Macaca mulatta: one gene and its partner. The protein of the gene in region 1 binds, or shares a complex with, the protein of each later gene. Links are inferred from orthologs where the notes say so. Each region holds a gene or a part of one and is shown on either strand. Other genes may lie near its edges.

The links.
Region 2: the proteins of STAP1 (region 1) and LAT2 are in contact, whole or in part, in a crystal structure (PDB 3MAZ), measured with the Homo sapiens proteins. The link is inferred for Macaca mulatta from reciprocal best matches to the Homo sapiens genes STAP1 and LAT2. Residues at the interface, in NP_001304698.1 of Homo sapiens: Arg184, Arg203, Pro204, Gly205, Ser206, Ser212, Ile215, Gln217, Ile219, Lys225, His226, Tyr227, Lys228, Glu239, Leu240, Glu241, Tyr255, Phe256, Glu259, Thr260, Arg261, Asn263, Leu264; in NP_054865.2 of Homo sapiens: Asn134, Ser135, Tyr136, Glu137, Asn138, Val139, Leu140, Ile141, Lys143.

What each region holds. Positions count from the first base shown.
Region 1 is NC_133410.1:65,915,594-65,931,489, forward strand, and holds the start of STAP1 (signal-transducing adaptor protein 1), read right to left. Parts: upstream 10,639-15,896; 5' UTR 10,526-10,638; coding exon 10,406-10,525; intron 1-10,405. UniProt on the Homo sapiens protein: In BCR signaling, appears to function as a docking protein acting downstream of TEC and participates in a positive feedback loop by increasing the activity of TEC.
Region 2 is NC_133408.1:51,728,472-51,743,811, forward strand, and holds the end of LAT2 (linker for activation of T-cells family member 2 precursor), read left to right. Parts: intron 1-236; coding exon 237-276; exon of another isoform or gene 277-324; coding exon of another isoform or gene 325-387; intron 388-2,929; coding exon 2,930-2,973; intron 2,974-3,118; coding exon of another isoform or gene 3,119-3,146; coding exon 3,147-3,195; intron 3,196-3,402; coding exon 3,403-3,440; intron 3,441-3,734; coding exon of another isoform or gene 3,735-3,767; coding exon 3,768-3,803; coding exon of another isoform or gene 3,804-3,837; intron 3,838-3,888; coding exon 3,889-3,919; intron 3,920-4,805; coding exon 4,806-4,861; intron 4,862-6,908; coding exon 6,909-6,965; intron 6,966-7,190; coding exon 7,191-7,370; intron 7,371-7,810; coding exon 7,811-7,917; 3' UTR 7,918-7,935; intron 7,936-11,087; 3' UTR 11,088-11,737; downstream 11,738-15,340. Other genes in the region: RFC2 (replication factor C subunit 2), read right to left, coding at 14,510-14,620. UniProt on the Homo sapiens protein: Involved in FCER1 (high affinity immunoglobulin epsilon receptor)-mediated signaling in mast cells.

The DNA of each region.
Region 1 (15,896 bases):
TCATATTACTCTGGATTCTACAGAAATATGACTTTTGAAGTTTAAAGTACATAAATAACCTAGTCAAACTCCCATTTCATTCAAGTGAATTTATTTAAATAAATACAAAGAGTGACTATATTACAAAAGAATGACAAGTAAGTTTTAAAAATAAAATCCTTTCACATCTAAAGATTTACCTTCATATGTGACTTTTTCCAAAAGTGTGTTTTTAAAAATTCCAATTATTTTAATAAACATGTTAATCATTCCTTCCTTTATGGTTTGATAAGCTGATGTTTTACAACTTATTGAACCATCATGACATATATTGGTGATTAATATAAGAAAGTTATATAAAGGGTTCTCTTTTATTGTGCATGTGAAGATACTTTGTTTTATGGTATTTTGTGTTTTATGGTATTTTGTATGTTTGTCAGCTCTTCAGAATTTATATGCTTATTTTCTCAAATAGTGACAACTCTATAAGTCAATCTTGCTTTTAATTCCCTGGCTACCAGGAAGCTCAAGATTAAATTCATTTTGAACTACAATCACCTTTTTTTTCTTATGTTTTTGGTAGAATTCTTTTCTTTCTTTGTCTTCATGGCTAATAAGATAGTATATCAGTTAGCTTCTCCCATGTAACAAGTCACCCTGTAATTTAGTGGACTAAAATAAAGCAAATTATTTCTCTTTCTCACCATTCTATGGTTGGCTGATGACCTTTCTGCTCTGGGCTTGCTTGGCTATGGCTGAATGGTCTAAGGTGGCCTCACTTACTTGTCTAGGGTCTTAGCTGGGAAGGCAGGAATGACGGGGAAGAGACGGACCACTGGAGTCTCACTCTATCTGCTCTCTTATCCAGTCAGCTAGCCTAGACTTGACACAGGCTGGCAAAAGGATTCCCAGGAAAAAGAGAGAGCAAAACCCAATGGGCAAGCTTATTCTAAGCCTCTGCTTGTGTCACATTTACCAACACATGTCACATAACCCAATCCAGATTCAAAGGGTAGAAATTTATTGTTTGCTATAAGTTCAATTTTTAAAAAATAGAATAAAGATTAGAGAAATAGATTCAGCCTCTTTGTAGGATGAGCAGAAAAGTCATATTTCAAAGAGAGGTACATACGGTTAAGACTTGAACAAATTGGTAGTGTGACTGCAGCAGTCAACCTCAGGGGCACATTGGAATTTGGGACAATATATCTTTGTTCAAGCCCTGCTGTGTTTTCACTCTGTCCTCCCCCAGGTTGAGAACTGCTTATAACATGTAATGAACCTGCTGATGCCTCTTGAACCAAGAACAAATTACCATTGAAAAGAACAGTTCAAAAGGGCATATGATTGGAGGATCAGCCAATAAATGGTCCTCAAAGAAGCAGTTATGAAACTAGGCAAAGGGATTCTCTCTCTTGTCTGAAATTGAGATGCCCAATATATACCTGACACATCTCAGAGTCAAGAAGTTGAATAGGACAAGAAAACACATCTTAATATCAACCCCATCCAAAGTCTTTTCTTTCCTTCTTTTTATATAGGATGTAAAGTGTTATTGCTATAACAGTATCCCTTTACCTGTCTTTCTACCACCTTCTTATACTTTCTAATCTATTAATCTACTCTATTTTTATTTCATTTTATTTTTTGATGGAAGTCTCACTTACTCTGTTGCCCAGGCTAGAGTGCAGTGACATGATCTTGGCTCACTGCAACCTGCTCCCCTCTGGGTTCAAGCGATTCTCCTACCTCAGCCTCCCCAGTAGCTAGGACTACAGGCATGTGCCATCATGCCCGGCTAATTTTTATATTTTTAGTAGAGATGGAGTTTCACCATGTTGGGCAGGCTGGTCTCTAACACCTGACCTCAAGTGATCTGCCCACTTCAAACTCCCAAAGGGCTGGGATTACAGGCATGAGCCACCATGTCCAGCCTACTTTCTTATCTATTCTGCTCAGTGCGGCCAGGGTGAATTATCTCCTTTGCAGAGAGTAGGACTGAGTATGTAATAGGTGTGTTTGGGAGGCAGCAAGCTCAACTCAGCCCCTTCCTGTTCTCTCTCAACTCAGTCTACCAGGAGAGAGGGAGCATACTGCTGTGTTCCCTGCCATGTGGTAAAGGGCCACCAAGAGGTTCAGGCTTGTGGTTCTTAATCTGAGTCAGTGAATTGATGTAGCTCAAGGATATCCAAATCTAGAGTAACATATTAGCACAGCTTTGGCCTTAAATCTAAACTACACGTTGATAATTTGTCAATAATAAAAGTAACTAACTGATCTTCATTTGTGTGATTTCTGTGACTGGCTGGCTTCAAACTTGGGAGAAGAAAAATTCTAATAAAAGAGTATATAAAAAATGGAAAGAGAGGGAAGAGAGCCAGGCGCAGTGGCTCATGCCTATCATCCCAGCACTTTGGGAGGTTGAGGTGGGCAGATCACCTGAGGTCAGGAGTTTGAGGCCAGCCTTGCCAACGTGGTGAAACCCTGTATCTATAAAAATATGAAAATTAGCCGGAGTAGTGGTAGATACCTATAATCCTAGCTACTCGGGAGGCTGAGACAGGAGGCTCTCTTGAACCCAGGAGGTGGAGGTTGCAGTGAGCAGAGATCGTGCCACTGCACTCTAGCCTGGACAACAGAGCAAGACTCTGTCTCGAAAAAAAAAAAAAAAAAAAAAGAATAAAAAAGCAGTTGGGTTTGGGGGAAGAGAAGTGGGTGTGACTGCCTATGGAGCTTCTTTTTGAAATTATGAAAATGTTGTGAAATTAGATACTGGTGGTGGTTGTATAAGTTTGTGAATATATCAAAAGACATTGAATAATAATAATTATTATTGTGTCTCCTATATGAGAGTTCACTTTAAGGGACCAAAAATAGGAGTACCCCATAAACACAACCCCACCTCCTGCTATTGCTCCATAGGGTTGTTAAATAATTGAATGGACTAATAATGTATGTATGTAAAGCACCTAAGACCTGGGACATAGCAAGTATTTAATAAATGTTAGACACTTTTAAAAAAGAAAAGAAAAGTAAAAGAAGAGCATTGCCTCAACACTCACATTATTGGTAAGAACTTTGCTTATTAGTCACATAATACTTCTTCCATGTGGTGCTTTGTATGTGTGGGTGTGATAGCAGTATCTAAAAATTTCTAACACAGGTCTCTTTCAATGACAATATGTATGAGAAGGAGGAAATATTTTGTAAACCAGAATAATGAAACCTGTTGTCATTCCTATGTAAAATCACCCTTTCGTGTTTTCTCAAATAAAGAGATTTAAGAATCCATTGAGAAATCTGGCTTGAGCACTATGATCAGACAGCCGTTCTGTAAAAACCATACGGGAGTGACTAGTTTGTTTCACTCTATTAAAAAATACTTGAACTTTCTCAGATCTGACTTATAATTACATAACAAAACAATTAAAATTTGTCTTGCAAGTTGGTTTGTTTCTTTGCTTATCAGACCAACTCTTTTTAAGGCTTCCCCACCCTGCGTTAATGGTAAACCTCTGCAATGAAAGGAGTAAATCAAGGCTATCCTGTTTTTTGGAGCTAGGAAGCAGGTGAGGAAGAGTGCAGGAGGAGATGGGAATGTAGAGAATGCATATTGTTCTGAGAACTTGATCATCTGTGTAGTTTGTTTGTTTTGAGATGGAGTCTCCTTCTGTCTTCTGTCGCCCAGGGTGGAATGCAGTGGTGTGATTTCGATCTCTGCCCACTGAAACCTCCGCCTCCCAAGTTGAAGCCATTCTCCCACCTCAGCCTCCCAAGTAGCTGGGATTACAGGCACATACCACCATCCCTGGCTAATTTTTGTGTTTTTAATAGAGACAATTTCACCATGTTAGCCAGGCTGGTCTCGAACTCCTGACCTCACATGATCCGCCCGCCTCAGCCTCCCAAAGTGTCATTTGTGTAATTTTACTAAAGTATGGCTTCTAAGGTCTAGTCCACCTCCAGGACTGTATGATTCTTGGAGGAAAAAAATATAAGAGAAAACCCTGAAGTCAAAGCGTACCACTCTGTTCATCTTCCTAATCAGCCTTATAAGTACAGTATTACCCTGCCATAAGGTATAAAAACTAGCATTACTGATAACCAGTAAAGGTTTATTGAATTCCCTCTGTATGTACATGCAGACCTCCATTGTACTACTGAAAAAAATTATAGAGGTGTTCAATCTCAAAAGAACGATATGAATTGGGTAGAGTTAAATAGGGAAAAATGGGAGTTTTATGGGTAAGCAAACATACATAGTTGTGGAAAGGATTAACGATTTATTAAATGGGAGGAAAAACAAGTATAAAAGCACTGAGTTGAAAGCAAAGGCAGCCCTTTAGGAAAAGTAAGGTTACAAATAGCATTAGATTCTGTGACTGCAAACACAGCTGCAAACCTAAGGACAGACCAAACTGGTATTCAGTATGCAGAGACTTACAGGTCACAGTCTTGATTTCATTTCTGATAAGATGTAATAAATACACGTATAAGCTGAGTCATTTATAAATATCAATCTCAATAAAAAACATCTAGGTACCTATTCATATCTAGAGAAATACTTAAAAATTTAAAAAATTAACTTGGAAGGACATGTCTTTGGAATGAAGCACAAACTTCTTTTTTTTAACAATCGTTTTGTGTTAAATTACTGACATAAGAGAAGAGACTAAAATAAGACTTCTGAATTTATCACTAGCTTAACTAGGAAACCTACAATCAAATGGAATTAGAACTTGAGTTTCAGAAGCAGCATAGTCAAGTGCATCACAATCAAATCCAAGCTAGCCTCCTTAATGGAAGAGGAACCTTGAATAAACTCGGTGGCCAGAACTCACTCATTTGTTTATTTGGGGTTGTTTTAGAGAGACAGGGTCTCGCTCTGTTGCTCAGGCTGGGGTGCAGTGGTGCAATCATAGCTCACTGCAGCCTCGAACTCCAGGGCTCAAGTGATCCTACCACTTCAGCCTCCCCAGTATTTGTGAATACAGGGTGTGCCACCACACCTGGCTAATTTTTGATTTTGTAGAAATGGGGTTTTGCTATGTTGCCTAGGCTGATCTCCAACTCCTGGCCTGAAGCAATCCTCCTGCCTTGGCCTTCATAAGTGCTGAGATTACAAGCATGAGCCAGCATGCCCCACCTACTCACTCATTTGTGAAGTGAATAAAATAATTTCTACCCAGAAGAGTTACTGTAAGGATCAGAGTGACAGAACACTAAGAGCCTAGAATGGTATCCATTGTATGTTATACCTCAAAAGGTTGTACTCATTATTATATAGTCCACTTAGTCATTGGAGCAACCTATTCAGCTATGCAAGAGAGTAATTATTCTTTTCAGAAAGGAGGGAATAGATTTAAAAATGTGAAGGAATAGCCCAAATTCTAGAATTGGACTGATACTTTTATCTCTTGCCTCCCCAGTGCTCCTTTCTCATTAATATAACTAGCAAAAATGAATTAACTAGCAAAAATGAATTACAATGCAAGCTCCAGTTAAGTTTCTCTTCCCCTCTCCCCAATAAAAAGCTCTCATTCTTTCTTTTTTTGTGAGCAAATAAAGTACATTTACCTAAGGAAGAACGTTGTACAGTGGTCTCCAAAATGGGATGCATAAATTCCAAAGGTGTGCAAGATGATCCATTGGGAGAGAAAATTTTAGAATATTTAATTATATTTTATGTTTCTTAATTCATTTTTTATATATCTTAATTTACATGGAGTAATAGTATGGGACTATATATGTTTATAATTTCTAAATGAATCAATATTCTTATTTTAAGGATCTGTGCTCAAAATGTTTCCCTGAAAGGAGTGTGTTATTTTAAAATTCGGAGATTACTGCCGTAGAGAACTGTTTGTGAGCACAACTTAGACAGCCCTAAAAAATTTACTTTTTTTTTTTTTCGAGACGGAGTTTCGCTCTGTCACCCAGGCTGGAGTGCAGTGGCACGATCTTGGCTCACTGCAACCTCTGCCTCCCGGGTTCAAGCGATTCTCCTGCCTCAGCCTTCCCAATAGCTGGGATTACAGGCGTGTACCACCACGCCCAGTTAATTTTTGTGTTTTTAGTAGAGACGGAGTTTCACTAAATGAATTAGAGATGAGTAGATTAGAGGAATACGATTTTGATATAGTTATGATGATCCCATGCTTATGTTCAGGTTAATAAGACATATTAAACACACTGTTTTTGTTGTTGTTTTGAGACGAGTCTCGCTCTGTAGTCCAGGCTGGAGTGCAGTGGCGCGATCTCGGCTCACTGCAAGCTCCGCCTCCCAGGTTCACGCCATTCTCCTGCCTCAGCCTCCCCAGCAGCTGGGACTACAGGCTCCCGCCGCCTTGCCCAGCTAATTTTTTTGTATTTTTAGTAGAGATGGGGTTTCACCGTGTTAGCCAGGATGATCTCGGTCTCTTGACCTCGTGATCCGCCCGCCTCAGCCTCCCAAAGTTCTGGGATTACAGGCGTGAGCCACCGCGCCTGGTCAACACACACATATTTTTTTTTTTTTTTTTTTTTTTAATTTTAGCACATCACAGATTGAAGGAATTACGAGACATTGCCCAAACTCTCTATTATTTTCTTTTTCTTTTTTCTTCCTTTCTTTTCTTTCTTTCTTTTTTTTTTTTTTTTAAGACAGAGTCTTGCTCTGTTGCCAGACTGTAGTGCAGTGGTGCCATCTCAGCTCACTGCAACCTCTGCCTCCCGGGTTCAAGTGATTCTTCTTCCTCAGCCTCCCTAGTAGCTGGAACCACAGGCATGTGCCACCACACCCAGCTAATTTTTGTATTTTTAGTAGAGACGGGGTTTCACCATGTTGACCAGGTTGGTCTCGATCTCCTGACCTCGTGATCTGCCCACCTGGGCCTCCCAGAGTGCTGGGATTACAGGCATGAGCCATGGCGCCTGGCCCACCCAAACTCTGTCTTATTTTCAAACGGTCCCATAAAAAATGAGCAATTTTCTCATTTGTAAGAACTGCGAGGCCATTGGTATTCCACTGTGGCATTTAATAGTTTTTATTATCAAATACATCTTCCTGGTTAATCCAGAATCATAGTGATGTGGTTTAAATAAATCTTCCCACATTATCTTTTCCATAAAGATTATGTGTTTTTCATGGGTTCTTGACCTCAGATTTAGAAACCTTCTAGAATTGCATGCAAAATGGTATACGTTGGTACATTTTCCTGGGGAAAAGCTCTTTAAATACTTAAAAGTGCCCCACAAAAAAAAATGGCTAAGAAACACCTCTCAACATTCAATGCCTTTATAGACCAGGTTACTCTTCAGTTATATTTTTTCTAGTTTAAATGTTCTAAATGACTTTGGCAGAGACCCAACTTTACATTCTGCAGAGCCTCTCAACTTCCTCCAGCCAATCAGCTCCGAAGATTACTTGGCTATATACCTGTGGCTCACCTTCTGTTCAAAGATTCCCTGGCACTTTGCTGCCAATTGCTTGGAAATTCCACTTATTTTCCTTAGATTTTTCTCATAGCTACTATTTTCAAGTACTCTAATTATCACCATGCTCACTCTCCTTTGAGCCATATTGTAGACCTCAAACTAATTTTAGCACATGAATAAGAATATGGTAAGTGATGAAAGGGTAAGAGAATGAATCTAACCTTTAGTGTGAGCCAGGTGTTTTACATATGCTATCCCTGAAACCACAACATAAGTAGGCATTATTGTCATCCTCTTGCTCTCTTCTCCCTGACATACAAGTAAAAGGTACTTTGTAGCCTAACTCAGTGGCCCACACCTGTAATTCTAGCACGTTGGGAGGCCAAGGTGGGCAGATTGCTGGAGCCCAGGAGTTTGAGACCAACCTGAACAACATGATGAAACCCTGTCTCTATAAACAATACCAACATTAGCTGGGTATGGTACGCACTTGTAGTCCCAGCTACTCAGGAGGCTGAGGCAGGAGAATCACCAGAGCTGGGGATGTTGAGGCTGCATGACTAGTGATTGCACCACAGCACTCCAGCTTGGGCAACAGAGGAGACACTGCCACACACACACACACACACACACACACACACACACACACAGGTACTTTATTATAAATTCAAATAGAAACAAGTTAATTTCATTGGAAATATTTATGCCTATGGTTATTCATTCTGCTTCAAATAATGCTTTCTAAGAGAAGGTAAAGAGTAGAAATTCAGTAAGGAAGACATCATTCCTACTATATTAAGCCTCTTGAAAATAAAATCTTTGTGTTTTTTTCATATTCTCCAGAAATAAAAGTGATGCTTGGTGCATAGAAGGCACACAATAAATGCTGAGTGAATAAATTGCTTGAACACCTACTGTGTCCCAGAATGTGCCTTAGGAGGCAAGTAGCAAGTAGTGTACTCTCTATCTTATAGTTGAAGAAACAGTCTCAAGGAGATTGAGTAACTTGCACAAGATAACGAGCAGTAAGTGGCAAAACCATCAGATAAAGACACTCTAAAATTCTTATTCTTTCTGCTAACCATACCAATGACATACCTTCTTTAAGCATTTAAAAAAAAACTGCTATCATAAACAGTTATTACAAACACCTTGGAAAACATTCAGTGAACAACCAAATTTAAATTACAAATTAGATTTTTTTTTTTTTTCTCAACTTCCCTTTCCTGGCAAAGTGTGACTATGTGGCTTACCTGTGGTGACAAGATTAAATTTACATTAAAAGCATGTAGGAACAACCTGAAAATATTCTAGTATAACTGAAAGATAATTATTTATGCATGTTTAACATCCATAACAGAATACAAATTACCATGTCTTTACTCTCAAATAGTAAATGATCTGATTATATATGTAAGAAATATGAATATGCTATTACAGATTTTTCTTTTTTTTTTTTTTTTTTTTTTTTTTTTTTTTTTTTTGAGACAGAGTCTCGCTCTGTCGCCCAGGCTGGAGTGCTGTGGCCGGATCTCAGCTCACTGCAAGCTCCGCCTCCCGGGTTCCCGCCATTCTCCTGCCTCAGCCTCCCGAGTAGCTGGGACTACAGGCGCCCGCCACCTCGCCCGGCTAGTTTTTTGTATTTTTTAGTAGAGACGGGGTTTCACCGTGTTAGCCAGGATGGTCTCGATCTCCTGACCTCCTGATCCGCCCGTCTCGGCCTCCCAAAGTGCTGGGATTACAGGCTTGAGCCACCGCGCCCGGCCCAGATTTTTCATATATATAATTTTTCCATAAGTATTCATAAATCCTCAGAAAATATATTTTATCATCATTAAACATTTCTGATGGAATTTCTGAAAACCTTAAAGTTTTTCTAGTTTTAGTCAATATACAATTTCATAAAATTTGACGTAAGTTAATGATTTTTTCTTTAATAACAGGCAATTTTGGGCTCATTTCTCTAATTAATTTCAAGTCATCCATAATTACTATTTTAAAAGTAATGATTTTAACTAACTATAAGTTTTAATTATTACATTCAAAAATACAGAATGCTTCATGGATTTTCTTAGAGCAAAGGTATTTGTGTAGCTTAGTGTACTTAATATCCACAGTAGTACCCCAAAAATTAAAAGCCACTATCTTGAATAGTATTTTAGAACACATAACACTATATAATGTTAAACAGTACGAACTTTGTCATTTTAACAATTTTTACAAAAGCCATTTTTAATAATTTGATCATTATAAACTTCAAATGACTGAGAACAGGAGCAGGTTTAATTTCAATAATGATATTTTATCTTTTTTTTTTTTTTTTTTTTTTTTTTGAGACGGAGTCTTGCTCTGTAGCCCGGGCTGGAGTGCAGTGGCCAGATCTCAGCTCACTGCAAGCTCCGCCTCCCGGGTTTACACCATTCTCCTGCCTCAGCCTCCGGAGTAGCTGGGACTACAGGCGCCCGCCACCTCGCCCGGCCAGTTTTTTTTTTGTATTTTTTTAGTAGAGACGGGGTTTCACCGTGTTAGCCAGGATGGTCTCGATCTCCTGACCTCGTGATCCGCCCGTCTCGGCCTCCCAAAGTGCTGGGATTACAGGCTTGAGCCACCGCGCCCGGCGATATTTTATCTTAATGGTACATCTCATCATTGAAGCATAGCAATAAATTGTGGAGAAAATACAGGAAACATTTTATCTCCCAAGCCAAAGTCTTCTGTGATATTTAAATTCTTTGGAATTCTTTGGAAATTTAGCTTATTGAATTTTTTATATTAGTGCCTTAATATTACAACCTGTGTTATTATACATATTATATATTCATAGACATACAGGTTTAAGCCAGACATTGTATTTAAATTATGAAAAATTGGAATCATTTCTGAGCTCAAAGAAGAGAAGATGATTTAATTTCAACAGAAACAAGGGGGTCTCAACACATCACATCACCATGAAATAAATATTAAATTAAAAGAGAAGTCTTAGGTTTAACATTATCATGTATAGACTCACCTGGTATCCTGACCGCTTGACTAACAAAAAACCTTCAAAGTACAAAGGTAGAGCAGTAATCTTTAACCTTTCCTGGAAGATCCTGCGAGGGGCTGGTTTTGGGGGCTTCTTAGCCATCATACCCCTCTCTTTGGTGTGTGGTTTGGTTTCTCGTCTCAAACAAAATGAAATCCTCCTTGTGTGAGAGGAAAAGGCAACTGTTCAAAGAGGAAGTCCCAAATTGCTTTTTAACCACCAACAGGACACACACACACACACACACACACACACACACACTTTTTTTTCCATTACTTTTTGTGAGGTAAGAAAGAACAGGTGTAATCTGACTTTTAGAGAGCAATCTCTGGGTAATCTACATATGCTTAGATTTAAAGCAGCAAAATAAACAGAAGATTAACATCACCGAAGATGAAAGAAACAGGTGTAGAGATTGTGAACTTTAGGGGAGACATCAAGAACATAGTTATTCTTTCTACCTTTGTTTTTGTTTATTGCTGTCCATTTTTATTTGCAGAAGACATGACTTGAATAAACTCTGCTTCATTAAAAATTGCTTCATAGAATAATTTTATTAGTACTATTTCTGTTGGTTAAATATTTCAGGGCCAAGTTTTGTGTAAATAAAAAAAATAGTTCTATCTCATGCCCATTTGATGCTTCACTAAATATAAACCACAGTTATGGGAACATGGAATATGGAATTTTTTTCTTTTTTCTTTTTTTATTTTTGCCAGTAGGTATTCCAAGTACATGAGTTCACAATGAATATTTAGTACTATGTTTTAAATGTATCCTCCAAAGTTTGTGTGTTAGAAACTTAATCCCCAATGCAACAGTGTTTAGAAATAGGACCTTTAGAAGGGGATTAAGTCATGAGGCATCTGCCCTCAAGAATGAATTAATGAATTAATGCTGTGGGAGTGGGTTTCTTTCTCTTTTTTCAGAGGCAGGGTCTTGCTGTGTTGCCCAGGCTGGAATACACTGATGCAATCACAGCTCACTGCAGTCTTGACCTCTCAGGCTCAAACAATCCTCACATATCAGCCTCCCAAGTAGCTGGGACTACAGGGCAAGTGCCACCACTCCTAGCTAACTTTTTCATTTTTTGTATAGACAGTATCTCCCTATGTTGCCCAGGTTGGTCTCGAACTCTTGGGCTCAAGCGATTCTCCTGCTGTGACCTCCCAAAGTGCTGGGATTACAGGTGTGAGCCATTGCATCTGGCCTGGAAGTGGGTTTTTTATAAAATCAAGTTTGGCACTTTCTGGCATGCTATCACCCTCTCTTGCTCTTCTATCTTCTGCCATGGAATGATGCCGCGTGAAGGTCCTCATCAGATGTTGGCTTCCAGCTTCCGGAACCATGAGCCAAATACATTTCTGTTCATTATAATTTACCAGTCTGTGGGTATTCTGTTACAGCAACACAAAGGAGTCTAAGATATTTGGCAAACAATATCTGGCAGAGAAAGCTGTAAGTTTTCAAACTTTTATTTTGTTCTTTGTGCTTTCTGAGCTGCAGACCATTGATTCATGGATGGAGTTCATGAATACTATTGATACTATGATTCATGGATGGAGTTCCCACAGTTATCTAGTGAGATTTATAAAGCTATACTGGGGCCAAAGTGCACTCAATGGTTGCATGTAGGAAATGGCCCTTAAGAGATTGGATTTGCCCTAGCACAGTGCAGGAAATGATGGGAGAAAAGAATATTAGAAGGAATTTTGATTTGTCTTACAGGGGTCCTAAGAATTTCTACCATTGCCTATTTCACACTCAGTATTTCAGAACTACTCTAGATTTAGAACAGCCTGGGCCCAGTGAGACCAGCCTATTATTAGAAATCAGAGCAAGCCAGGAGTCTTCAGTCTGATTCTCCTTTCCTAATGGAGAGACTGCATGATTTTCTCCACCAGTGTGGGTCCCACTGATCCTGCAGTGGGATATGAGATGCCAAATTGTCTACAAAGTAAGGTAGAACAATACAGACTGATTATCAGTAAGTTAGAGGAGAGTGTTCAGATGTATTATCAAAATGAAAACAGCTAGAGACAGACATAGAGAGTTGAAGATCCAAAATTACTGCTTTGCTTTTATAAGTTTAGACCTGCTTCTTGCTACCCAACCTTCAAATAATAAAATATAAGTCCAACTTAATTTTTTGAGACAAAAACCATAACTATTTTTTAGTTTCAGTATACTAAGAAAGTGACTTGAGTAACGGGAAAACCTCCTGATTGAATATATGACCTAATCCACTTTCTTGGCAGCTGTTAGTTGTTGTAATACAGGGGGGAAGTGAAAGGAAGGATTAAGAATTGAAAAATGAAAAGAAGCAGCAAGGATAGAGAAAGATAGAATGCTGGGGATCATCAGTGATTAGATACTGACTTTATGGCCAGAAAGTTTCATAGGCAAGAGAAAATAATACCTCTAGAAAAATGTAAAGAGGAGTTTTTGTTGTTGTTGTCAAATAAACACTTGGTTATGTTTTTTTGCCTTTAAAAAAATAAGCAACAATTTAAAAACAGCTAATCAGATGCAGTAAGTTACTTTGGTCTACTGATTTATGCATCAAATTCATTTTTAATATACCAAGAATCTCCCTAAAAAAGACTACAAAATGCAAAAATCTTTCTTAAACAATATTAACCAGTTAGTCTTGTCTGCAATTACTAGTATCATTGTACCACTGCACCATTACAATGGAAATCCTCTTACAGATATCTCAAGTCTTAGGCAGTGAATAATAAATTTGTAGGTAAGGAAATACAGTAGAAAATATGTTTGGACATAGGGCTGAAGCTAATTTTGCTACTAATTGACTCTTGAGACCTTGAACAAACCACTTGACTTCTCTGGTATCATAGCTTCCTCACCCATACAATGAGGCGATGGACTACATGACTTATTGTCTGAAGAGCTGCAAAAGGCTTTTAAGTGGTCTCCTAGTTTCCACTCTTTTTCTTCTCCAATTCATTTAAAATTCAGCCTAATCAAGATACTCCCCTACTGAAAAGACTTTAATGGATTTTCATTGCTTTTGAGATTTCTTTTTAAAATTTTTTCATTGAACATTGAATATTTATTGAATACCAACAATGGGCTCAAGCATGGCACACTGGTCCTTCATAGCAGGGCCCTTTTAAATAATAACTCCTCAAAATACCCTTTGCTCTGGTAATTTCATTTATTTTCAGTTGCCTGAATACCCTATGATCTTCCCTATCACCTCATACCTTTTCAGTCACTGTACTCTGCTTAGATGCCCCTCCTTCCCTTTGTTTATATGGTAATGTCCTACTCATCCTTCAAGACCCAGGCTGAATCTATCCTTAATTCTGAAGATTTCCTAATTTCCTGAATCTTTCTTCACCCTCCCCCCAGACACAAAAAAAGGTTATTACTCTCATTTCTGCTTTCCCAACACAGTTTGTATGATTTCTTTTTTATAGCATTTGTCCTGTTGTAGCTATTTGTATACATTCAGATCAACAAGAAACAGTTTTTCCAAGGGAAAGATTGTGTTGAAGTAGGGGTTGGTTATAGGTAGATTGCAATATCATTTATTTACTGAATAGCTTCCAGATAAAAAATATGATTCTAGTTTGGAGAATTATTAGCTTCCATTGTGACAGGAGTTTCCTTTTTTCTGATATATGTGACTATTGGTTGACATATGATTCTTGTGTTGCCTTGTAGAATAATCATGTTACTATTAAACTATTGGAGCCCAATATTACAGCCATCGGTAGCATCTGTGTCACAGAACATTGTTATAAATCAGGTTTTATGGCAAATATAACTTAACGACTTTGGGTAAAGTATAACAGTTAACTCATATAAACCAAAATGTCAGTGATCTATTGAGTCCTCTATGTTATAATGTCATTTGAGTAAAAATCCACATTTTTTTACAATAATTGAGGATCTCTAAAATACTTTTCTATCCATTTATTAGTACTGAATCAATCAAGTCTGAATAGGAGGCTCCAACTCTGCTCTAGTATTTCCACATTTCTGACCTTTGTTTTACTTAATATTTATTGATGATTTATTGCCATATGCATTATAATTTGTGTTAGTATATTTCGAAGATATTTTAATTGCATGCATTTATTTTTATAACTCATACCTGAAGAATACAGCTTTAATTTTAACCACTGCATGAAATGCTTATAGCTTATCAATGGCTGGTGTGAATCCAATACCATCTTTATTATGAGTAAATTTTTTATTACTATTGATAGAATTAAGCCACATTTTCTTTTTCTTTTCTTTTCTTTTTTTGAGACTGAGTCTTGCTCTGTCGCCCAGGCTGGAGTGCAGTGGCACGATCTCAGCTCATTGCCACCTCTGCCCCCCGGATTCACACCATTCTCCTGCCTCAGCTCCTGAGTAGCTGGGACTACAGGTGCTCACCACCACACCTGGCTAATTTTTTGTATTTTTAGTAGATACGAGGTTTCACCATGTTGGTCAGGCAGGCTAGTCTCGAACTCCTGACCTTAAATGATCCATCTGCCTTGGCCTCCCAAAGCGCTGGGATTTATAGGCATTAGCCACCACACCCAGACAAGCAGCATTTTCAGTGGAGAAAATGCACATTGTACTACCACAACTCCAGAGATTATCAGACATACAATATGGAGTTTCCTACTCCTTTGCCTGAGATATAGTGAGCCATTGTTACTCAGAAAATGTTTCCCTTAAGTCTTTTGAAACAGAAAAAAAAGGTGGGCAATCATTGTTACAGAAGTGATATTAGTAGCTCTGTCAGAACAGTTTAATTTGCTAACCCTTATAATTTTCAGTGCAAAGAGTTGCAACTGGGATGATAAGAGCCTTTCCTAGTTATGTATTTTCAAACTACTTTTGTAGTGGAAAATATCACTTTTATTACTGAGAAGTAGTTTTTGGATGCCAGGTAAATACAGGACACTGGTTTTCATACTAGGTAACTCACAGAATAATGGTAACTTTAATGGAAACTAGAAATTCAGAGTGGGGAGATAGTTTGGGGGGTAGAGGGATAATGAATTCAGTTTTAACCATTTCAAACTCAATGTATACAAAGGTTAAGTCTATGTTTTCTCTTTTATTTCTCATCCTTCATGGCTTCCTTAGGGAATAAGGTGGATTGGTGCTTACCATCATTCCAAACCCTTCTAGTGTGCTTTTCTTTATTGCAGAGGCTAAAAAGATAAAATCTACATTTCTCAGACTTCTTTGCAGCTAAGATTGAAAAGCATTCAACATGATTGACAAGGCAGAAAGGAGGCAGTGTTCATTGTTATGCTGCCTTTGTTTTTGTTTGTTTGTTTGTTTTTTAAACTCCATTGAGAGGGAGTCTGGCTATGTTGCCCAGGCTGGTCTTAAACTCCTGGGCTTAAGTGATTGTCCCACCTCAGCCTTCTGAGTAGCTGGAATTAACAGATGTGAGCTACTGCACCAGGCAACCTTTGGTTTTCTAACCAATAAAAAGGCA
Region 2 (15,340 bases), on another chromosome or scaffold:
AACTGCTGACCTCAGGTGATCCTCCTGCCTCGGCCTCCCAAAGTGCTGGGATTATAGGAGTGAGCTACCACACCCCGTCCCAAATACTCTTTAATGTCAGGTGGCCGGTGATGATTGACAGTTTGGCCCCCAAGTCCTGTCTGAGTCCTGCTGGGAGACAAGACATGGCGGGGGGTGTCTGACCTCATTTCGCAGCTGCTCCCAGACCCTTTGCTAATCCTGGCCTGTTCTTGCAGGTGCAAAGCGGTCAGAGAAAATCTACCAGCAGAGAAGTTTGTGAGTTGCCTCGATGTCCCTAGCCTGGTGTATTCACGTGCCCTGGGCATGGGCGTCCCCAAGGGAATTCCTGGCACCCCCGTCCTTCACCCCTTCACTCACACCTCCTCCGTGCCAGGCTCTAGCGGGTTCCTAGCCATCAGAGAAGGGAGAGGAAGTGCCCGGAGGCTGTTCAGGCCCTGCTGCATCTTGGGTTGTGGAGGGCTTTGAGAGGCGGGGATGCCTGGGCTGTGGGGCTAGCCACTCTTCAGTTTTCCTGTGAACCCCTCTAGAAGTCCAGGCATCTGGCCAGGCGCGATGGTTCACGCCTGTAATCCCAGCACTTTGGGAGACCGAGGCAGGTGGATCACCTGAGGTCAGGAGTTCGAGACCAGCCTGGCCAACGTGGTGAAACCCTGTCTCTACTAAAATACAAAAATTAGCCGGGCATGGTGGTGGGTGCCTGTACTCCCAGCTACTCTGGAGGCTGAGGCAGGAGTATCACTTGAACCCAGGAGACGGAGGTTGCAGAGAACTGAGATTGTGCCACTGCACTCTAGCCTGGGCGAAAAAGCGAGATTCCATCTCAGAAAAAAAAAAAAAAAAAGAAAAAGAAAAAAAGAAAAGAAAAAAAAAAGAAGTCCAGGCACCTGTGTCTTCAGCCTCCCTTTGACCCCAATCCCCCAGGGCTAGTCCGCTCTCCCCCTGCAATGCAAGAGACAGAGACCCCAGCACAGGGTGAAATGTGAACGTTGTTGGAGTCTCCCCTGGGAGAAGCTGCTGGAGCTCTGGGGAGGATGTGGGCAAGTCCCTTGGGGAACCAGGGAAGGACTGTGAGAAAGACCCAGGGAAGGGCAGTGGGTCCGACACTGCAGGCTAGGGCTAAAACCCAAAACAGCCTGGGTACATGGGCAGTAGCCACAGGTGTCCTTTAAGAGAATGACTTGCTGTGGGCCCAGGAGACCTTGGAGGTCCACGTGCACCCCCGAGCAGCCACTCATGACCCACACACGCACGCCACACATCCTTCCTCATTTCCTTTTGCAACTGAAAAACCACAGTGAGATTTGAAAATAGAATCTTCCCATCCTTGCTCAATGTGGGCCAGGGCTAGACCTTTCTGGGTCTTTCTGGCCACGTGGCTCTCTGGCCTGCCTGCAACCTCCCCCGATGCCCCCCACGCCCTTGACTCCTCGGACACTTCCCCCTCCCCTCTTCTCTCAGGACCTGCCCACCCCCGGCCCCCCGATTGATCTTAGAGCCACAGAGGGTCAGGGCCAGACTCAGGGTCTCCATGTGGGAGGTGGAAGGGGAGCTGTTCGGTCCCCTCCCTGGAATGCCTTTGCCTGCCTCTCCATCTGTCACCTCGGTTGGGCTCAGTCCCACCAGTCTGCATGAAGTGACTGCTGTGAGCACAGGCTCCGTTCCTCTGTTGCTTCTCCCAGGAAGCCACATCTGACTCTCTCCTGTGGATTTAGGGTATCTCTCCTAAATCAGGTCACCCTGAGCCCCAGTCTTCCAGGAGTTTGGAAGGCTGGGCCAGGTACCCATTCTGGTTCAGAGGAGGAGCCACCAAACCTGCTTTAATAATGAGCCAATCCACTCCATCACCTGTAATGGTGGCTTCCATTTTCAAGAGCAGCTCATGGTCCGAGATGGCAGCTGGGGCGCCGGCCCTCATCTCTGCATTCCCAGCAGCAGGAAGAAAGAATGAACAAGGATACAAAGGGTGTCTCCCAGTTGCCAGTGCCCCCCTTTAAAAAGATTTATTGGAAATATCAACAACCTTGGCTTGAATCTCATAGACCAGAGCTTAATCCATGGCCACACTTTGGTGCAAGGAAGGCTAGGAATAGTCTTATTTCTTTCTTTATTTATTTAGAGATGGAGTCACATTTACTCTGTTGTTCTGGCTGGAGTGCAGTAGAATGATCTTGGCTCACTGCAACCTCTACCTCCTGGCTTCAAGTGATTCTCCTGTCTCAGCCTCCCGAGTAGCTGGGAATGCAGGCATGCGCCACCATAACCAGCTAATTTATGTATTTTTAGTAGAGACGGGGTTTCCCCATGTTGGTCAGGCTGGTCTTGAACTCCCGACCTCAGGTGATCCACCTGCCTTGGCCTCCCAAAGCCCTGGGATTACAGGCGTGAGCCACCGCACCGGGCCTCGAGCGTGTGCTTTTTTAAGGAATTGCAAACACTCCTGGGACCAGCAGGTGGGAGGCAGCCTCTTTGTCACTCCTGGCTGAAATGTTTTACCCCAAGTCACTGCTGGATTCCTCATCACCTGCCTTCATTCACCCTCATGCCCCAGAATCTCAGGGCTGCCGCCTCAGCCCTGTCCACAGATCCCTCCTGACCCGTCTCCAGGGGCCTCGGACCCCCCGGCAGGATGTGGCCCTGTTGAGGCCACGTCAGGGATGGGTCTGGCTGAGAGCCGGGCTCTAGCCCAGGACCCTGTGTGAGGGGTGGGCACCCAGTGCACAGAGGGGCCAGAGAATGGGGGTAGCAGGGGGAGCTGTGAGGCCTGAAAGGACAGCGGTTCCTCCCCGCTGTCACCCTGGTCTGTCCCTCTGCTCTCCCTCCTCGTCCCTGCCTGTCCCTCTCTCCTGTCCCTGTGTCCTTGGACTGTGGGAGGCCAGGCCCAGGCTCAGCACAGCCCATGCATTTCCAGGCGTGAGGACCAACAGAGCTTCACAGGGTCCTGGACCTACTCCTGTGAGTCTCCAAGGGCCCCCGGGCTGGGCTCTGGGTTGGGGGTGTCCCTAGCAGGTTCTCTCGGTCCCCATTGCCGTAAGACCATGGCCAGGCCTGATGTGGGGGGATGATGGGGTGAGGGGGCTGGGCTAGCCTGGAGGCCCAGCCAACACCCCACTTCTTGCCCTTTGCAGTGGTCGGGCAGGCATGGCCAGGACCCCTGGAGGACACGGCACCCACAAGGTAGGTCACAGCCCCCCAGGAAGTGATAAGAAGGAAAGTCCTGTAGGTCCCTACCTGGTGAGCCCAGGTCAAGACCTCCCTCCCTCCCTGGGCCCCAGAGCTCCAGGGCTCAGCTATGAAGGCCCCACCAGGGGTATAGGGGATGTATCCTGGGGGGCATCTCCGCTACGGCCCCTCCTTCAACCCGCTCCTTCCCCCTCCCTGCAGGAAGGACAAGCTGTTGCAATTCTCCCCAGGCCTGGAGGGTGAGTGGCACAGGCAGGGACAGGGACAGGCCTAGCCAAGCTGGGACTAAGACAGGCGAACACCCCGTGGGCCAGGCGTCGTGCAGTGGGGGCTGTGGGGCCAGGCGAGACCTCCCCAGGAGAGACACACAGGCTGGGGCAGGGCGGGCTCCTGGAATCGGCCTGGCAGGGGGAGGGTGCACACTTGCACATGCCCCACTGAGGGGACAGGGAGCACTGCAAAGGCTCAGACACGGGAAATAGCTCGCCCTGCCTTGGGCTGTAGCGCCGAGCTGGGTGGAAAGCAGGGGCCAGGGGAGAGAGCAATGAGCTGGGCCTTTCTTCCAGATCCAGCATCTTGCAGGTACCAGAACTTCAGCAAAGGTAGGTGGGCTGCTGGGGAAAGGGGGAGGCCACAGTGGGGGCCACAGCCCATGGGCTCAGGCCTGATTCTCGCCTCCTCCCGCAGGAAGCAGACACGGGTCAGAGGAAGGCTACATGTGAGTGACCTTGGTCTTGTCCCCCTGCCTCACCTCTCCCCCTGCCCCACCTGCCTGCCACAGCCCTGGGCTTCCTGGTCCAGGAACCACCCTCTTGCACTAGAACAAGGCATCCAGGTTCCCCTCCTTCTCCTGACAGGCAGGCATTGGGTGACACTGTTGTCTCTCAGGTGACCCTGGCTTTGTGGGACCGGACTTGGCCCTGCTCTGGGACACAGGGTGTCGGGGTGGGGGATGGAGACTCATTCAGCATCACCCAGTCAAAGACAAGCTACAGGACACCCAGAACCCCTCCAGGGTGTTGCATCGTCTCACAGATGGGCAAACTACGGGGACTGGCCTAAGGTCACAAAGCAAGGTGGCTCAACAGGTGCGGTGGTTCATGCCTGCAATCCCGGGACTTTGGGAGGCTGAGGCAGGCAGACCACCTGAGGCCAGGGGTTCAAGACCAGCCTGGCCAACATGGTGAAACCCCGTCTCTACTAAAAATAATTAGCCAGGCATGGTGGTGCGTGCCTGTAATCCCAGCTACTTGGGAGGCTGAGGCAGGAGAATCGCTTGAACCTGGGAGGCTGAGGTTGCAGTGAGCCGAGATCATGCCATTGCACTCCAGCCTGGATGACAGAGACTCTGCCTCAAAAAAAAAAACAAAACACACACACAGAAAAAAGGTGGCTCCAACCAGGCGGCTGGCCACGCCCTCCAGCCCCCCGGTGGCTCAGGGGTCCCAGGAAGTGGGGGTGGAGGAATCAGAGAGGAGATCCTGGCAGACCCCCATGACGAGCAATGCTGGGAGCAGCCCTGGCCTCACCGTCCCCCTACAGAGCCCCCCAACTTGACCTCCAGCCTGCCCTGAAACCTGTGCTGTGTATGTTCTCTTGGCCAGAGACCCCATTGCCATGGAGTATTACAACTGGGGGCGGTTCCGGAAGCCCCCGGAAGGTGAGGTGAAGGACAAAGCCGGTGGTGGGGGAGGAAGTAGAGTGGGAGCTCGGGGCAGAAGCCACACCTCCAGCAGGAGAGGACGCTGGGCCTGGGTTCAGTTGAACTGGCAAAGCCGGCTGGGTGGATTGAAGGAGGCTGGTGCTGCAGGCAGGGGCCAAGGAGGGCTAGGGGGCAGGTGGGTCAGCGTGGGAGCTGTGGACACAGGCGTGGGAGAGAGGAGTGGGTCACAGGGGCAGGGAACTAGAGGGCTGGCTCGGGGAGGTCGGGGGAGGCCAGGTCCTTGTCAACGAGGACTGAGCATCTCCTCCTGAGCCCAGAAGGTACCCGGGACAGTGATCCCTGCAGGCTCTGAGGCCACCAGAACCTTGGTCCCTGAATGCCTTTGCTTTATAGAAAGGGCAACTGAGAGGCTGGGCACAGTAGCTCACGCCTGTAATCCCAGCACTTTGGGAGGCCAAGGTGGGTGGATCACCTGAGGTCAGGAGTTCAAGACCAGTGTGGCCAACATGCTGAAACCCAGTCTCTACAAAAATACAAAAAAAAAAAAAAAAATTAGCCGGGCATGGTGGTGCATGCCTGTAATCTCAGCTAGTCAGGAGGCTGAGACAAGAGAATCGCTTGAACCTGGGAGGCAGAAGCTGCAGTGAGCTAAAATCATGCTGTTGTACTCCAGCCTGGGCAACACAGCAAGACTCCATCTCAAAAAAAAAAAAAAAAACCAAAAAAAAAAAAAAAAGGGCAACTGAGGACTCAGGGTGGGAGGAGCCTGCTGAGAGGTGCATGGGCCCGGGGCTTGAATCCAGCTGCCTGACCTGGCTCCTGCCTGGACCATGCTGGGTAGGTGTTGGGGGTCCTCTTCTGCCCCCACCACTGCCACCTCCATTTTTTTTTTTTTTTTTTTGAGACAGAGCCTTGCTCTGTCACCCAGGCTGAGTGCAATGGCACGATCTTGGTACACTGCAACCTCCACCTCCCAGGTTCAAGCGATTCTCCTGCATCAGCCTCCCAAGTAGCTGGGATTACAGGCGCCCACCACCACGCCTGGCTCATTTTTTGTATTTCTGGTAGTGACGGGGTTTCACCGTATTGACCAGGCCGGTCTTCAACTCCTGATCTCAGGTGATCCGCTCGCCTCAGCCTCCCAAAGTGCTGGGATTACAGGCGTGAGCCACCCCACCAGGCCAGCACTGCTCAATTTCTTAGGACCCCAACATCACTGATGGATTTTGGGTGGGGCATCGGTCAGAGCCCAGCTTCCCCATTACAAGACCAAGATGGGGTGCCAGGCGCTGAGGTGCCACACTCAGCCTGGGTCCCCAAGCAAAGCGTCCCCAGCCTGCCCCGCCCTGTCTGGAAGAGTCCAGCCCCTCCCGGCAGTGGCTCTAGGGAAAGCTCCTGATTAGAGATGAGCCCTGAGGCTGCCCCTGCCTCCCTCCCTCCCTCCAGCCACCCATCATGGGCCTGAATTGCAACCTTCCCCCAGAGTACCTCCTCCCAAGTGCATTTGGAGGGGATCTCAGAAGACAGAGAAGGAGGCTGGACACAGTGACTCACGTCTGTAATCCCAGCATTTTGGGAAGATGGCCTAAGTTTAGGGGCTCGGGATCAGCCTGGGCAACACAGCGAGATCCTCTCTCTACAAAAAAATTTAAAAGTTAGCTGGGCACGGTGGTACGTGCCTGTAGTTCCAGCTACTCAGGAGGCTGAGGGGTAGGAGGATCGTTTGAGCCAGGAGTTGGAGGCTGCAGTGAGCTATAACTTTGCCAATGTCCTCCAGCCTGGGTGACAGAGCAGACACCATCTCAACAAGAAACAAAGAAGACAGAGAAGGAGCTCAGGGCTCAGGGAAAAGCCTACAGAGGCACCAGGCCAGCGCCCATTAGGAAGCTCATCCAGGAGAAGGCTTGAGGTCCCAGAGGACCCAGAGGGCTAGGGCTTGGCAGGAAAGGTCCCCTGCAAAGGGAAGGCAGGACAGAGGTGGAGGATGAGCCAGGCCTTGCAGGGCCTGCCCACACCCCCGTGCCTGCTCCTCTCTCTCCTACAGATGATGCCAATTCCTATGAGAATGTGCTCATTTGCAAGCAGAAAACCACAGAGCCAGGTGAGGTTGCCCAGCCAGGGGCAGGCTGGGGCCGGGAGCAGCAGGCCTCCTTGGCCCCTGCACTCCCCACTGCTCAAAGGCCGCCCCCACTTTGAAACCGAAGGCTCTCAGATCCCTGGGTACCTTTGGGTAGAGCCTTGCCCCTAGTATCCTCGGAGGAGGCTCTGTTGGCTCCTGGTGCCTCTGTGGGATGAGCCAAGGGGGGCCTATTCTCCCTCTCTGCAGTTGCCCAGCAGGACGGCACAGGTGGCCTCTGCAGAGGGGACCACATCCCGTCGCCGGCCCTGAAGACTGGCCCCACTTCTGGTCTCTGTCCCTCTGCCTCCCCGGAAGAAGATGAGGAATCCGAGGATTATCAGAACTCAGCATCCATCCATCAGTGGCGCGAGTCCAGGAGGGTCATGGGTAGGTGGCCAGAGGAGGATGCAGGGTGGCCCACTTAGGGCAGGCTTGAGGGACTGGCCTGGAAGCGCGGGCTGAAAGTGGGCTTCCCTCCAGCCAGTCCAGCTAACCCCGCAGTGATGCCTGGGTGCAGGGGCAGCTGCAGAGACCTTGAACCACACAGGACGGCCCTCGGCAGCCACCCAGCCTCTGGGGTGGGGTCAGGTCCTCCCGGGCAGGCCGCCCCGTCCAGCTGCATGCATAGAGTAACACGTTCACCTGCTCTCAGAGCAGGACGATCTTCGGCAAATCCCAGAGACGGGACAGACACACACTGCTAGGACCTGTCCGGCATGGCGTTTCCCGCAGGCTGTTTTGTGGAGTCTGGGGTCTGAGTCTGGGGGAATAGTTACGGGTGTCTCCACATGACCCACTCGATGACCTGTCTGCCCGCTGGTCCGCAGGGCAACTCCAGAGACAAGCCTCCCCTGGCCCGGTGGGAAGCCCAGACGAGGAGGAGGACGGGGAACCGGATTACGTGAACGGGGAGGTGGCGGCCACAGAAGCCTAGGGCAGACCAAGAAGAAAGGTACAGCCCCTGCTCTCCAGCTGCTGTAGGCCAAGGACTGGAGGTCTTGCCAGGCTGCAGGACCCCCAATCCAAGGGAACAGCCGAGAGTGTGGGTGGAGGGGCCATGGTGGGGGCTGCAGGATGCACCCATGGGTGCTCCAAGAGGGCAGCTTGGCGACTCTGTTCCTGTGTTCTGGCCAGGGGCATCAGGCAGGGAATTCTGGTGACTTCGGGGGCAAAGGATTAGGCACCGGGTGGGTCTCCCAACTCCACTGCATCCTCCTGGCTGCCACCTTGGACCAAGTGACAACCTCCCAGAAATTAGTTCCTCACATGATGCCTCCCTCTCAGACAAGACATCCCACACACAGCCGGGCGTGGTGGCTCACGCCTGTAATCCCAGCACTTTGGGAGGCCGAGGCAGGCGGATCACCTAAGGTCAGGAGTTTGAGACCAGCCTGGCCAACATGGTGAAACTTCATCTCTACTAAAAACACAAAAGATGAGCCGGGCATGGTGGTGGGCGCCTGTAGTCCCAGTTACTTGGGAGGCTGAGGCAGGAGAATCATTTGAACCCTGGAGGCGGAGGTTGCAGTGAGCAGAGATCGCACCACTGTACTCCACCCTGGGCGACAGAGCGAGACTCCGTCTCAATAAACAAATAAAAAAACAGACCAGACATCGCACACAAAGCCTCAGCCCAGCAGGCACTTGGTCACTGCTGGAAACAGACAGGAGGCGGGGACACTGGAAAATGTAACGGTGGTTGAGACGCACTGAGGAGCCACCGCAAGCCAGTGAGATGGAATGATGCTAAGTGTTCACACGTGTACCATCTCTTGGCACCCAAAGCCACAGAGCAGTGAAGCCACCTGCCCAAGGTCACATCTTGGAGTAAGGGGAGGAGGAGATGGAAGTCCCAGTGGTCAGACATCAGACATCAAAGCCCAGGCTGGGTCTACCGCTTGGGAAGCAGGATGGATCCCCAGAGGGCCTTGAAGGCCGCCCAGAGCCCCCACCTGGGAGACCCAGGCCGTCATCTCAGTGAACAGGCTGGAGGGTAGAAACCACATTGAACCCGGGCGGTCAAGACTCAGCCCCAGAAGCAGGTGCAGGAGTTTGAGCCGCGTGTGCAGAGCCCCACGTCATTCATTCAACCAGTATCCACTGGGCCCCTGCTATGGGCAAGTCCCGCTCTAGGTGCTGGGGACACCAACATAAAGAACAGGAAACCCCTGACCCCTTAGATCTTACGTTCTGGTGGAAGAGAGAAAACAGATAGGGCCGGACACAGTGGTCATGCCTATGAATCCTAGCACTTCGGGAGGCTGAGGTGGGAGGATCCTTTGAGCCTCTGAGTTTGAGGCCGGCCTGGGCAACATAGCAAGACCTCTGTTTCTACAAAAACTTTTTTTTTTTTTTTAATGAGACAGAGTATCACTGTCACTCAGGCTGGAGTGCAGTGGCATGATCTCGGCTCACTGCAACCTCTGCCTCCTGGGTTCAAGTGATTCTCGTGCCTCAGCCTTCCAAGTAGCTGGGATTACAGGCACGCGCCACTATGTCCAGCCTCTACAAAAACTTTTAAAATTAGCCAGGCATGGTGGTGGATGCCCCAGAGTCCCACTGACTTGTGAGGCTGAGGTGGGAAGATCACTTGAGCCTGGGAGGTCAAGGTTGCAATGAGCCACGGTTGCTGCAGTGAGCTGTGGTCGCGCCACTGCACTCAAGCCTGGGCAACAGAGCAAGACCCCATCTCAAAAAACAAAACAATTTAAAAATTAGCTGGGCATAGTGGTATGTGCCTGTAGTCCCAGCTACTTGGGAGGCTGAGGCAGGAGGATCACTTGAGCCCAGGAGTTCAAGGCTACAGTGAGCTATGATGGTACCACTGTACTCCAGCCAGGATGACAGAATGAGACCCTGTCAAAAAAAAAAAAAAAAAATAGAAAGAAAACAGGTAAGAAGACATGGCATGTTCACTGGTGGTAAGTCCGGCAGAGATAAACAAAACAGGGAAGCGGGGCAGGAAGTAGTGTGGGGCTGTGGGCACGATGGGGTGTTGCAATTTAAGGAAGGAGGCTAGAGAAGCCTTTCAGAGCTCCCTTCCTCACCCCATCTGGGGGAAGGGCATCCAGGCAGAGGGGACAACGGAGGCCCCAGGGTGGAATGAGCCCCACAGGTCTGAGCAAAGCCGGGGTGGGGAGGAGCAGGTGAGGGGAAGCTAGTGGAGGTCGAGGCCGGAGGTGGGGAGGCTGACCAGGCAGGGCCAGCACTTGGGGTTTTACTGCATGAGATGGGAAGGAGGGAGGGAGACAGAAAGGTTGTTTTTTTCTTTTTTTTTCATTCCTGTGGCCCAGGCTGGAGTGCAACGGCACAATCTCAGCTCACTGCAACCTCCACCTCCTGGGTTCAAGCGATTCTCCTGCCTCAGCCTCCCGAGTAGCTAGGATTACAGAGATCTGCCACCACGCCTGGCTAATTTTTTTGTATTTATTTTGTTTTTTGAGAAGGAGTCTCGCTCTGTCACCCAGGCTGGAGTGCAGTGGTGCGATCTCGGCTCACTGCAACCTCTGCTTCCTGGGTTCAGGTTTCTCCTGCCTCAGCCTCCCGAGTAGCTGGACTACAGGCACGTGCCACCACACCTGGCTAATTTTTTTTTTTTAGTAGAGATGGGGTTTCGCCATGTTGGTCAGGCTGGTCTCGAACTCCTGACCTCAGGGTCATTGGCCCACCTCAGCCTCCCAAAGTGCTGGGATTACAGGCGTAAGCCACCGCGCCCGGCCAATGGGAAGGTTTTGGACAAAAGACTGGCTGGATGTTTCTAATTCAATTTCTCTGGCTGTTGGGCAGACAAATGGGTACTGGGAGAGTGGGTACAGGAAGCCCAGGAAGGACCCAGGCACTGGTGCCATCTGGGCCAGGGGTGGCAGCAGTGGAGACAGGGGTGGGCAACATGGCGAAACGCTGTCTCCACATAATATACAAAAATTTGCCAGGTGTAGTGGTGCACACGTGTAGTCCCAGCTACTCGGAGGCTGAGGTGGGAGGATAGCTTGAGTCTAGGAGGTTGAGCTGCTGTGAGCTGCCCCAAACCAGTGGTTCTGGTTCTCAGGAACAAAATACGGATCAAGGCAAACCTCCTTCTACAAACTTTCCTCTTCATTTAAGGAGTCAAGGCGAAGAGGGACTATTGTGCTCATGGACCTGTCGCTGCTTTCCAAGGACCATTTCCCAGAGCTACTCAACTTTTAAGCCCCTGCCATGGTTGCTCCTGGAAGGAGAACCAGCCACCCTGAGGACCACATGGCCAGGCGCGCACAGCCCGGGAAAGGACAGTTACCCACAGGAGCTGCAGCCCTGCCACCAAGCCCTCTCCCAACCCAGGCTTTGTGGGGCAGGCACCTGGTACCGAGGGTAACCCGGCTCCTGGTATGGATGGATGCGTAGGATTTAGGATAAGCTGTCGCCCTGTCCCCATACCAAAACCATTGTCCAACACTGGTATCTGTGTCCTTTTGTGCTATGAATTTGGATTCCTAATTGCTATTGTTGGTTGCCGGGGTCTTAAAGGATTGATAAGCTTCTCCAGTTAACTTATAGAGGGGGAGCCATATTTAATATTCTGGATTTCAGAGTAGAGATTTCTGTGTTGTCTCCTAGAAAGCATTACATGTAGTTAATTTCAGCATCCTGGTTGGGCGGGGCCCTGGCTCTCTTCCCCTTTAGTGGGACCTCCCCTTTCTTTGGGCTTCAGTTCACTAAGGAAGAAATAAGGCTGTCGCCATCTTTATGCGCTTTCAGTGGAAATGTCATTTGCTATGGACAATAGTGCGTGAGAGTTTAGAGAAGCAGTGACCAGAACGGGGCAGAGTAGGTCTCCTCCATGGCCCAGAATCCTCCTCTGCTCCAGGGCTGGCCTCTGCAGAGCTGATTAGACAGTAATATGACTGTCTCATGGGAAGAGCAGGGGCCCAGAGGGACCTTCTGAGTCAGAAATGCTGCCAGAAAAAGTATCTCCTCCAACCAAAACATCTCAATAAAACCATTTTAGTTGAAAAGCAGTGATTATCCTGTGTCTCCTTTCCCCTGCTTCAGGTAAAAAACCTTTTATAAAAATACAAAAATGGAGCCGGGCGCGGTGGCTCAAGCCTGTAATCCCAGCACTTCTGGGAGGCCGAGATGGGTGGATCACGAGGTCAGGAGATCGAGACCATCCTGGCTAATACGGTGAAACACCGTTTCTACTAAAAAATACAAAAAACTAGCTGGGCGAGGTGGTGGGCGCCTGTAGTCCCAGCTACTCGGGAGGCTGAGGCAGGAGAATGGCATGAACCCGGTAGGCGGAGCTTGCAGTGAGCTGAGATCGCGCCACTGCACTCCAGCCTGGGCGACAGAGACTCCGTCTCAAAAACAAACAAACAAACAAACAAACAAAAATTAGCTGGGCATGGTGGTGCATGCCTGTAGTCTCAACTACCTGGGAGGCTGAGGAAGGAAAATAACTTGAACCCAGAAGGTTGCAGTGAACGGTGATTGCACCACTGCACTCCAGCCTGGGCGAAAGAGGGAGACCTTGTCTCCAAAAACATAACCAAATACAAAAAACCTTAAGGGAATGACGGCCACAGCTCCTGTTTAATAAAAAGGGACCCTGAGGGCGTCAGGCATGCGGATGGGATCTTAGTTCCCAAGTCCAGCCGTCTTTCTGGGATGGCCCAGGGACTCTTCCCATGAGAAGAAATTAATGCAACAAGTTAGGAAATCCGAAGAAACGTCTAGAACCCAACTGTTGCCCGCGTGTTACTTCACACCCTGAAGTCCTGCCTGCACAACCTCAGGGACAAGCTTCTCTTCCTTGTTTTTATAAGAGTCTCGCTCTGTCGCCCAGGCTGGAGTGCAGTGGCACTATCTTGCCTCACTACAATCTCTGCCTCCTGGGTTCAAACAATTCTCCTGCCTCAGCCTCCTGAGTAGCTGGGATTACAGGCATGTACCACCATGCCCAGGTAATTTCATGTTTTAGTAGAGACGGGATTTCTCTGTGTTGGCCAGGCTGGCCTTGAACCCCGATCTCATGTGATCCGCCGGCCTTGGCCTCCCAAAGTGCTGGGATTACAGGCGTGAGCCACTGTGCCCAAACGGGCCGGGTATGGTGGCTAACACCTGTAATGCCAGCACTTTGGGAGGCTGAGGTGGGAGGATTACTTGAGACCAGGAGTTTGTGACCAGTCCCAGCAATATAGCAAGACCCTATTTCTACAAAAAATTAAAAATTAGCTGAGCATCGTGATGCATGCCTGTAGTCCCAGCTACTCGGAAGGCTGAGGTGGGAGGATCACTTGAGGACAGGAGTTTGAGATCAGTCCCAGCAATAGAGCGAGACCCCATTTCCACAAAAAATTTAAAAATTAGCTGGGCATCATGGTGCATGCTTGTAGTCCCAGCTACTTGGGAGGCTGAGGTAGGAGGATCACTTAAGCCCAGGAGGTTGAGGCTGCAGTGAGCCAGGATTGGCCCACTACACTCTAGCCTGGGCAACAGAGCAAGACCCTATCTTAAAAATAAAATAAATAAAAAAAAACGGAAACAAAATAGCATCTTACCAAAAAAAAAAAAAAAAAAAAGGTAATTCTACAAATTAGTAGGAAATTCCCCGGGGAATTCTAAAGCAAGCACAAAGGCAAGCACAAAGAGTATGGTCTAGAACACAGGAAGGGCGTCACGGTGTTTTCCTGAGGGCTGGGCTGCGTCTCTCCACTCTGCGGCCCTCTCTGAGAGGCTCGCCACCTGGCCATTCTGAGAAGTCAGTCTAAATAGGAAATGACAGCAAACCCTGCCCTCGCCCTGGGGAAGTGGCCCCTTCAGGCTTCTAGAAGAACCGAGATGAGCTTGTGGGCCTACTATCTAATCGCCTTTTCTACTTGTAGGCTGCCAAGGCCAGTAGAGACAGGAAGCTGGTTTTCCTCGAGGCTTCACGTGGTCACCTTATTGCCAACAAACACTGCAAGGCTTTATTAGCTAAAATGTCAACCCACACACAGATCAGAGACCACCCTCAGCTCCTCTGTGCCTTTCCGCCCCGTACCACATCAGTGGGGCGGAGGCTGAACGCAAACACTCGTGAGGCACAGATGTCCCAGAAGCAATCATGAAAGCCACAGGAGTTTATTTATTTAATTTTTTTTACCCCCCAGACAGAGTCTCTCTCTGTCACCCAGGCTGGAGTGCAATGGTATGATCTTGGCTCACTGCAACCTCCACCTCCTGGGTTCAAGCGATTCTCCTGCCACAGCCTCCCAAGTAGCTGGTGCCTGCCACCACACCCAGCTAAGTTTTATATTTTTAGTAGAGACAGTGTTTCCCCATGTTGGCCAGGCTGGTATCGAACTCCTGACCTCAGGTGATCCACCTGCCTCGGTCTCCCAAAGTGCTGGAACTACAGGTGTGAGCCACCGCGCCTGGCCAGCCACTGGAGTTTAAACGGCAGTCATGCTGGCTCCAGCCTAAGGCGGCATTTTCCCCCATCAGAAAGCCACAGCTCCTGTACCTCAGGATAGGGCTCCTGTAAGTCAGTCAGCGAAGTCTCTGCTCTAACTGGCCACCGGGGCCATTGTCTTCTGACACAGCCTGGCCAGGAGGCCTGCCATCTGCAAAAGGGAGTTCACTCCTTCTGCTATTTTCATGTGAGTGTATCCAATTTCCTGAAAAACAAACCAAATTCAAATCTGGTTAGTAAGTGGGGGAGTTCTTTTTTAAAATCTGAACTGAAAAAATAAAAATAAAAACAGAAACAAACTGAACTAATGGTTTGTTCAAAATCAGCATGAGGAATTCCAACTCCAGCCGGAAAATGAATGCTAAGATGCGATAGATTATGTTTACCTAAAGTTCAATTTATTTCTTAAAAGGATGCTGACAGTTCTTTCAAAGATACTGTTAAGAAAATGGGTGGGCGGGGCGGGGGGGCAGCACGGAAAGCCAGGCTAGAGGAAAATATTAATATATCTGATAAAGAACTTGCATCCAGACTATAAAGAATTCTCAAAAATTCAGTAATAAAGGCCGGGTGCGGTGGCTCGTGACTGTAATCCCAGCACTCTGGGAGGCCACGGTGGGTGCATCACGAGGCCAGGAGTTGAGATCAGCCTGATCAACATGGTGAAACCCCATCTCTACTAAAATCAGCCAGGCATGGTGGCGCATGCCTGTAATTCCAGCTACTCAGGAGGCTGAGGCAGGAGAATCACTTGAACCTGAGAGGCGGAGGTTGCAGTGAGCTGAGATAGCACCACTGAACTCCAGCCTGGGCGACAGAGCAAGACTCCATCTCAAAAATAAATAAGTAAATAAATAAATTCAGTAATAAAAAACAAACAACCCAATTAAAAAATGGGTAGATTTAGACCTGGAGCAGTAGCTCA